Schizosaccharomyces pombe: one gene and its partner. The gene in region 1 interacts genetically with each later gene. Each region holds a gene or a part of one and is shown in the gene's direction. Other genes may lie near its edges.

Evidence for each region.
Region 2: mutations in bmt2 (region 1) and ndi1 together harm fitness more than expected from each alone (negative genetic interaction), as found in Schizosaccharomyces pombe (one large-scale study listed by BioGRID).

The regions. Positions count from the first base shown.
Region 1 is NC_003424.3:363,816-367,174, forward strand, and holds bmt2 (rRNA (adenine) methyltransferase Bmt2), read left to right. Parts: upstream 1-1,629; 5' UTR 1,630-1,734; coding exon 1,735-2,547; 3' UTR 2,548-2,627; downstream 2,628-3,359. Other genes in the region: protein Vps55, read left to right, coding at 2,986-3,002, 3,058-3,076, 3,153-3,225, 3,290-3,359.
Region 2 is NC_003423.3:639,119-644,557, forward strand, and holds ndi1 (NADH dehydrogenase), read left to right. Parts: upstream 1-2,175; 5' UTR 2,176-2,567; coding exon 2,568-4,223; 3' UTR 4,224-4,788; downstream 4,789-5,439. Other genes in the region: exosome subunit Rrp46, read left to right, coding at 256-310, 394-1,019; respiratory chain complex assembly protein Cbp6, read left to right, coding at 5,173-5,361, 5,429-5,439.

The DNA.
Region 1 (3,359 bases):
GCTTTTTAAAAGGCTAAAGTCGTTATGCAATGGTTGGATTTTACCAACAAAGTTTTGTTACGGGATGTTGTATCACTAACATTCCGTTACGTCTCATTTGTGCCAATATACTGAATGCTTGCGTAAACTCTGTAATACTTGGAAACGGCTTCACTGCGCCTCACTATTTGGAAAGTTGTAACGCTGTAAATGTTTTGTTTTTACCTATAAGTAAATAGAAGATACATAATAAAATTTGGTGATGCTCTGGATTTTCAGGGATAATAGAATTTCTGTAGTTATATTTTCTACAATGACGGCTAACTTTTAAATTGTTTAATCTTGATGCCATGCAGTATAGCTCAAATGCTGAAGAATTTAGGTAATATGCATTTTATACTTTGTCTTTAAATTGTCATACTTGTCTCTTGCGACTTTTATAGCTAAATAATAATATTCCAGTGCTAACGTATGTGTTTTTTCTATAGTAATCCAAAAAAAACACGCAATTTATTGTGTCAGTAAATAAAGTAACTTGTAAAAATAAGTTTAGCTGAAATGTACAACAATCAGTCCCCCATCCAATGCGATAGCAGCCGCAGTTACAAATATTATTTATATTTAATTATTACATTTTGTTTACAGGTACATAATGTTTGTTAACACTTTTTGTACGTTTAATTAAACTAAAAGTATTTATTTTTTTAACATATACTCTAAAAAATTAATTTACTCAAGTTTGAGTTATCAAGAAAATTTAATCTACAATAATTATTTTTGAAGCACTTATTTGTTTTAATAGTATATAGTCTGGTGAAACAATTAGAATTCGTCTGTAAGTAGTAAAAATACAAAAATGTTTCTATGGTTTTCATATCATAAATACTTACACTTCACCCGTTTAACTTAAAAACTTAAGGTAATCCGTAGTACACCAAATTCTTTTCTTTTCTTTTTTTATTTTTTTTTATTTTTTAAAATGTATTTTATTTAAGAAATAATAAATAAAGTCCCTTATCCAATTCCACTAGATATAAATCGTTAGTTTAGAATTTACCAAAATACTTTTCAATAGCTGTCGTATATACATATTTATACACATTTATTACTTTCTTTTAAAAATAACTTATATCAATTATATCGTAACGTAACTGATGAGTGGAATCATTTAAAACAATTTAAGAGAGAAGTTGATATTGGCTGTTTATTTATCCGAATTTTTTTATGTTATAGTTCTACCATATTTGGCGGTTGTTTTCTTTATTTTGATTATTTTTTAAAAACAATTGAAAAAGTTTAGTTAATAATCAAGTAAATCTAATAACTATATATACAGTTTTCAAAGCACAATATCAACTGAGGCTTCGTGGTGTAGTGGTAGCATACTTCGTTTGGGTCGAAGTGGTCAGGGGTTCGATCCCCCTCGAAGCCCAAAGCCTTTAAATTTTTGTTTCAAATATAAAAAAAGTTGATTTGTGCTTGTAAAGTACAAACCGTATAAAAAAAGGAAACCCGTTTAATATTCTGTGTAATGGTTAAAGGGTTGCATAAATTACCGCTCTTTAATTACATATTAAGAATTTATCATACATTGTCCAAGCTCTTCTTGTGCTGAATTTTTATAAGTAACGCGACACTACTTCTTTCATCGTAAAAACTTTTCAAGTAATTAGGAAACTACATTTATGAACCATTTACTGTAAATACAATTATATTTTCATCTGGGAGATTAACAAATATTTTATCACTATTTGAATGCGTCCCATTCCAGTGAAGAATCGCATTGGAAAAAACAACATTGATAATGCAAAGGGACTGAAGGGGAATAAGCTTATTCGTCATTATCATAACCTGTTAAAAGAGAAATCTCGACTTATTGCGTCAAGTGCTCCGATTGAAAAAATAAAAAATGTGGAAAGTGAACTCGAAAATATAGGTATTGATGCTTACCAACGAGCTAGTCGATCCGGTCAAGCGGAAGGAAAAGGAGGGGATTCAAGTAAAATATTGATAAAATGGATTCGGACAACTCCCTGTTTTTCGTATTGCGCACGTCTTAAGGAGCCGAAAGATTTGTTGGAAATTGGCAGTGTTTCTGTTGACAACAAATGTTCAACTTGTGGACTTTTCCGAGTTTCAAGGATTGATTTGCATTCTGTTCATCCCTTGATTAAACAACAGGACTTTCTTGAAAGAACTCCTGAAGAAGGACTTTTTACTGGGATAAGTTGTTCACTTGTGCTGAATTTTGCACCTCCAGAACTCCGAGCTAAAATGTTATTACATTGTACAGGATTGTTAATGCCTCCTAATAAAGAACAGCCTCCTTGGTTATTTTTGGTTTTGCCTTCGCCTTGCATAACAAATTCTCGGTACATGGATGAAAAAACATTACACTCAATTATGATACAGTTTGGATTTATCTGTCGTCAAAAGTCTATATCGAAAAAAATAGCCTACTATTTATATTCTTACGAGTGTTTTCCTATGAAAGAAATAGACTGGAAAAAGAAGATCGTTAATGATGGGGCAACTAGGAATAATTTCTTCATTCCCTGTATACTCTAATTAAGATATTTGTCAATACAAAATTTATTTTACTAGTATCTCAAAGTTAAATTAATGAAATGAATGCTTTTTGTCGGTTATCCTCTTGCTTTTTTTTAATTGTATTGTTAATGTCAATTACTAGCCTTTACTTACGTAGCTACAAAGTACGTTTTTCAGAGTTTGTTCGTATGCGATACTTTACTAATGAGCCGAAAGCTCGATCATTGGTGTAAAAAATAGTAACAAGTCATTTTCGTTATATGTCTTTTTAAACTTATTTGCCAAGTTTACAAATCTTGTGCACCGCTCTGTGTTCTATGCATACAGAACACATCTGTATAACGTAATGGAGCGTACCCTTTTTAGGTGAAGTAGCTGGTAATCATCGAAGTCTCTCTTCTCAAAAGCAGTAAACTTTAGCTTGCAGTATATATTCGTGAACGATAGTAATTAAATATGTCCGACCTCAGGAAGTAAGTAATTTTTGTTAATATGAAAAAGCAAAGGTTAACGTTTGTCACCAATTAGAATTATCGGTCTTTCTTCGGTATGCATCGCTCAATGACTCCTACTCGAGCTAGACATCAATTCCATTTTAAACGAGTCTAACTTATATTATTAAGGTCCTGGCAGTAGGATTTATGCTGGTGATCCTGTCTTGTGCTTTATTCAAGAATTGGTATCCACTGCTAATTGGTATGATTTTGTCAACCGTTGAGAACTATTTCATTTACATTGCTTACGAATTACTAATGAATAGTCATTCCATTCATTTTAGCTCCTCTTCCTAATCTCCTTACGAAAAAATACTCGACAAGCCATGACTTTTT
Region 2 (5,439 bases), on another chromosome or scaffold:
GGTTGGGCTGTTACAGATCATTCCAGTTTCTCCTATCATTCAGCTTTAGTAAAGTAAAAATTGGAAGAATTTAATTACAAACCCTTATTAATACAACTCCCATTGTCACCAAACTATTGATACATTTTTTTCTGCTCTCATTCTGTTTTCGAATAACGAGGTGTAAGCTAGCTTATTTCCTACTTGTGCAAAGGAAGTAGAAACGTTTCTTCTGTCTCTGCAAGCAAGCAACTTTGTTGCATTATAGAAGCTGAAATGAACCGTATAGGTATCCTCTCAAGGTCTGATGGCTCGAGCGAATGGAAACAAGGTAATGCTATTATCCACGGTATATTAGCCAAGCAAATGCCAATTAAAAAAAAATGAATTTTCTTTATGCTAACATCATTGTAGGTTCTGCTAGGGTTATTTGTGGTGTCAATGGTCCTATTGATGTAAAAATCAGGGACGAAAGGCTTAACAAGGCCACCGTTGAAGTTTTGGTTCAACCTGTGAGTGGTGTCGCTGAGACTTTGGAAAAGATGATTTCTAGCAGAATTGTTGGTATCCTAGAAGATGCAATATTTCTAAACACATATCCAAGAACACTTATACAAGTGTCAATTCAGATAATAGAGGAAGATGGCACAGATACATTGGCTGCCGTAATCAATGGTGCGGTACTTGCTTTATTGGACGCAGGTATCTCTTTAAAATATATTCCCTGTGCAATAAATTGTCACTGGAAGAACAAAATAACTCAAGATGAACCTGATGTCGATGGGACAATTAACAAATTGGAGTCTATTATTACTATTTGTTATTCAATTTCCTCAGAACCAGCCAAATTAATTTTTCTCGAAACAGCTGGCCCCATTCCAGAAGAAGATTTTTTCCGTGTTCTGGAGACAGCACCATTGCATGCCGAGGAAGTTTCTAAGAAAATGAAAGAATTGCTTTTTGAAACGTACAACGAGAGCGATGGTCATGAAAATGAAAAGAACCCCAAAGAGGATGTTGAGATGGATGTGGTTGCATAAGAAAATCAATAAAGTGCATGTAAAAAGTCCATCTCAAGGACCTTCGTTTCGTATTTACCATTGTACCTGTTAAACGACTATACCTTTGAACAATATCTTTGGCTGTTCATTTTTATACTTAGATTTTATATTACTTGGGCGATATACATTGGGTTATTTTTAATTTATTTTAGTTTATTACTAATTGAGAAACCAGAACCTAAACAATCCTACTACATTAGAAGGTTTACTGTCATTCTTTCAATTCACTAGCAATTAATGTGTTCTTTCAATACTTCAATGTATGCTGATACATTTGGGTTAAATCATAAAAGAAGATCTGTCATAAGACAATCGTTCAGTACAAGGCCTTGGGTATATACACTCATGACTTTTTTTTTTAATTTTGCCACTCACTCACTTACTCTATACATATTGAGTCTATCTAACGTATCAAGCTGTTAACTAAGAGAAACGATTTGAAAACACATAGGAAGGTCGCACACATTAGCTGTCTTATATACTACTGAATTTTAAGTTTAGGAAATCATTGAAGGTAAAATAGGTAGAAAAGTGAATAAAAGGCATTCATACCCAGGACAAAGCATTGCCTTCATAAACTGGGAATTTGCCATACACTAAAAAATTACTGTTGCACAACTTTTCCTAAAAAGTAATCTAATGTAGTAATATTATACTACAGCAGGTATTAATATTTTTTCACATGTCCTTTTTTTTATGTGTTCGCCAAATATGACGGTTATAAATTTAGTTAAATACTTTTGATTGAAGGTACTATTAGCTACAATTTATGAATAGAGATCAATTGACCCGGTTCTCAGTCCAGTTATAAGCTGATTCAACGATGAGTTACACCCTTCATGCCACAAAATTTATAGCATTTGTCACCCATATCACTTTTTTTAGGACAAATAACATACACTACCAATGTAACATTAAATGTGATAACACAGTGCGTTGCTAACATTTAGCAATTCTTTTCTTACCACGTAATACTTTTTATGGATAACCTTATTCCGCGTTATTTTTCCCCACTCACAGCACACTTGATTGCCGAGTCCAATCAAGTTGATATGAATAACCGTGATGACGGAATTAGGGCGCTTCGTAGACCTTAATTGTTTACATACAAAATGTTCAGCTATGCAGCCCTTTCGTCCACATTCAACACTCCCCCATCTCTTCTTAAAAAAAAAATAAGCAGAAAAACTCGTTTTCTGTAAAGTAGAAGGTATTTTAGAATACACTACAATTTTTTCTAGTAAAACTATTATTGGATACCTTTTTTTCGCAGTTCTAAAGGCTTATTTCTGCTAGTTATAGTAATTCACTGTGTATTTAGGAGAGGACTCAAGGTTGTCGTTCTCTCTTTCTATTACTGTCTATTAATATCGTAAAATAGCTCAATTTTGAATGGGTTTATCTCTTTAGTTTGCTTGCTCTTTAACATTTGTCATTATCTCATACATTTTTTTACTCACGCCTCCCTACCACTTATCACTTAGTCCTATTTAAGGGGAAATTTGTTTACTTCTTTTTTCTTAAAAAATGTCGGTCTCAAAAGCTAGACTACAGTCTGTGGTTCGCCTGTCTCGTACAGTGCCATATTCAAAAACGATGGTTCGTTCATTTCATGTATCCTGTGCTGTAAAGAACAGTGGGAATGTTCCTACACCCCGTAACAAATCATTTTTCTCTCGAGCACTTGAAATGGCGGAAGTTACTTCTTCTTTGTCCATGTTGGGTGCCGTAGCCCTCTTCCAATCCTTACGAAGACTGAACAACAGTTCGCCAAAAGGAAAATCTGGTGTTCCGAAAAAGAACATAGTTGTTTTGGGTTCTGGATGGGGTGCAGTCGCGGCAATCAAAAATTTGGACCCGTCCTTGTACAACATTACCCTCGTGAGCCCTAGGGACCATTTTTTATTCACCCCTATGCTTCCTTCATGTACCGTGGGTACTTTGAGACTTCCAAGTATTACTGAGCCCATTGTGGCTTTGTTCAAAGGAAAAATTGATCCCTCCAACATTCACCAAGCTGAATGCACTGCCATCGACACATCGGCTAAGAAAGTTACCATTCGTGGTACGACCGAAGCTAACGAGGGAAAGGAAGCGGTTATTCCGTATGATACGCTTGTTTTTGCTATTGGAGCTGGTAATCAAACATTTGGTATCCAGGGTGTCCGCGACCATGGCTGTTTTCTGAAAGAAGCGGGAGATGCCAAGAAGGTGTTTAACCGCATCTTTGAAATCTTGGAACAAGTTCGATTCAATAAAGATCTTTCTCCCGAGGAACGGGCTCGTCTCTTACACATCACTGTTGTTGGTGGTGGCCCTACTGGAATGGAATTTGCAGCTGAGATGCAAGATTTCATTGATAACGACGTTAAGGATATGTTTCCCGAGCTTCAAAAAGACATCCATGTCACGTTAATTGAAGCTGCCCCCGGTGTTCTCCCCATGTTTACTAAATCTTTGATTACGTATACGGAGAATTTATTCAAAAATCTTAACATTAAGATCATGACTAAAACCGTGGTTAAAGATGTTAATGAGAAGAACCTTATCGTTCAAAAGACCAACCCTGACGGAAGCAAGGCTATGCAAGAGATACCCTACGGAATGCTCGTTTGGGCTGCCGGCATTACTGCTCGTCCACTCACTCGTACATTGATGTCTTCTATCCCTGAACAAAGCGGTGCGCGCAAAGGTTTAATAGTTGATGAGTTTTTTAGGGTCAAGGGTGTACCTGAGATGTACGCCGTTGGTGATTGCGCATTCTCTGGATTACCTGCTACTGCTCAAGTTGCTAACCAACAAGGTGCTTGGTTGGCTAAGAACTTGAACGTCGAAGGAAAGAAGTTTGCATTGCATGAACGGATTCAAGCTCTTGAAAAACAGTTAGGTGAGAAAGAGGCTCCTTCTCAGGTTGCCGGATTGAAACAGCAAGTGGAGCAGTTGAAGTTAGAGCCCTTTAAATACCATCATCAAGGAGCTTTAGCTTACGTTGGAGATGAAAAGGCCATTGCCGATTTAAAATTGCCATTTATGAAAAAGATGCTGCCTTTGCAGGGAATTGTCGGCCACACCTTTTGGAGACTTGCATATTTAAATGAGTTGATTTCTGCTCGATCCCAATTCATGGTGTTGATTGACTGGTTGAAGACAAGACTATTTGGACGTTATGATGCTAAGGTTTAATGAACGGAATGAAATACTTTTGGTTTACAAGCAATTGTTTCCTTGTGCTTTGTCGTTAATCATAAGATGATTATTTTATACTTGAAAAAGGAACGTATTTGAATAACAGATTTCGAGATGAACGATTCGTTTCGACTACTACTTTGATAATTTAAGTTTATGTTATTCTAAATGATAATACTGATGCCTTATTTGTTCTATGATGGAATAATTCTTAGTGTTACTCCATTGATGTATGTAGAAAAGCTGGAAGTTAACAGTTGACAGGTAGTACAATTTCGTTACTCAACGAGACTATATGTTGCATATGAACTGAAAGAATTATATTTATGTCTTACTGTATTCAGAACCACTTTAATTAGAGCCCGTATAAACCATGTTCTCTGCTTTTAGCTAGCTAATCGTATAATTAATATGCCATGCTGGCTTCACCGGCACTAGATTCGTTGTACAGTATTATATTACACTACCCCATCAGGAACCGTTTCACAAAAAACCCGTTCGCTTACATAGCAACATTTCTTAGATAATTTCATATTTCTAATCCACTCCAAATAAGATATCCTTTCTTATATAGATTGAAAGTTTTAAAATACTGCTTAAATATGCTTAGTTGACTCTACCTTGCTCACTTCAATTTTAAACCGTTTTCAAAGGTTCTATCAACTCCATCGCACCGGTACTTTTTAAGATCATTTAATGATATACGTTGTATAACATAATAGATGATTCACTAAAAAAACTCACCGTAGTACTGATTGCATCCTTATAAGCCTAACAAAATATGTAATTATTCTGTTAAGTTATTTACAATATTTGTATTTGCCGCTCAATATTGTTTAGCGCAATAAGGTGATATAGCCTGGCCAAAGCAGAGAATGTCGAAGAATCTTTCTACTTGCAAAGCAATTGAAAGTTGAGGCTTTATTCTTGTTTTTAACCCTCAATAATGTCTCTAAACCAAAAAATAACAAAGGCAGTTGCTCTTTGGCCGAAGGATGAATTGCGACCTTGGTTGTCGTTTCCTAAGACTCTTGACACATCTATTAGAGCCAGACTTCAAAAGATGCCACCTCAACAGGCTAATAAGCAGTTAAACGCTTTGAATAATTTGCTTGATAATGTCTATTGGAATAAGGTATGCTTCTTATTACGTGCCTTGATAGGGTCGCCTTACCTTTGTTCGCCTTTTAACCAAATTGTAGTATATCCCCAA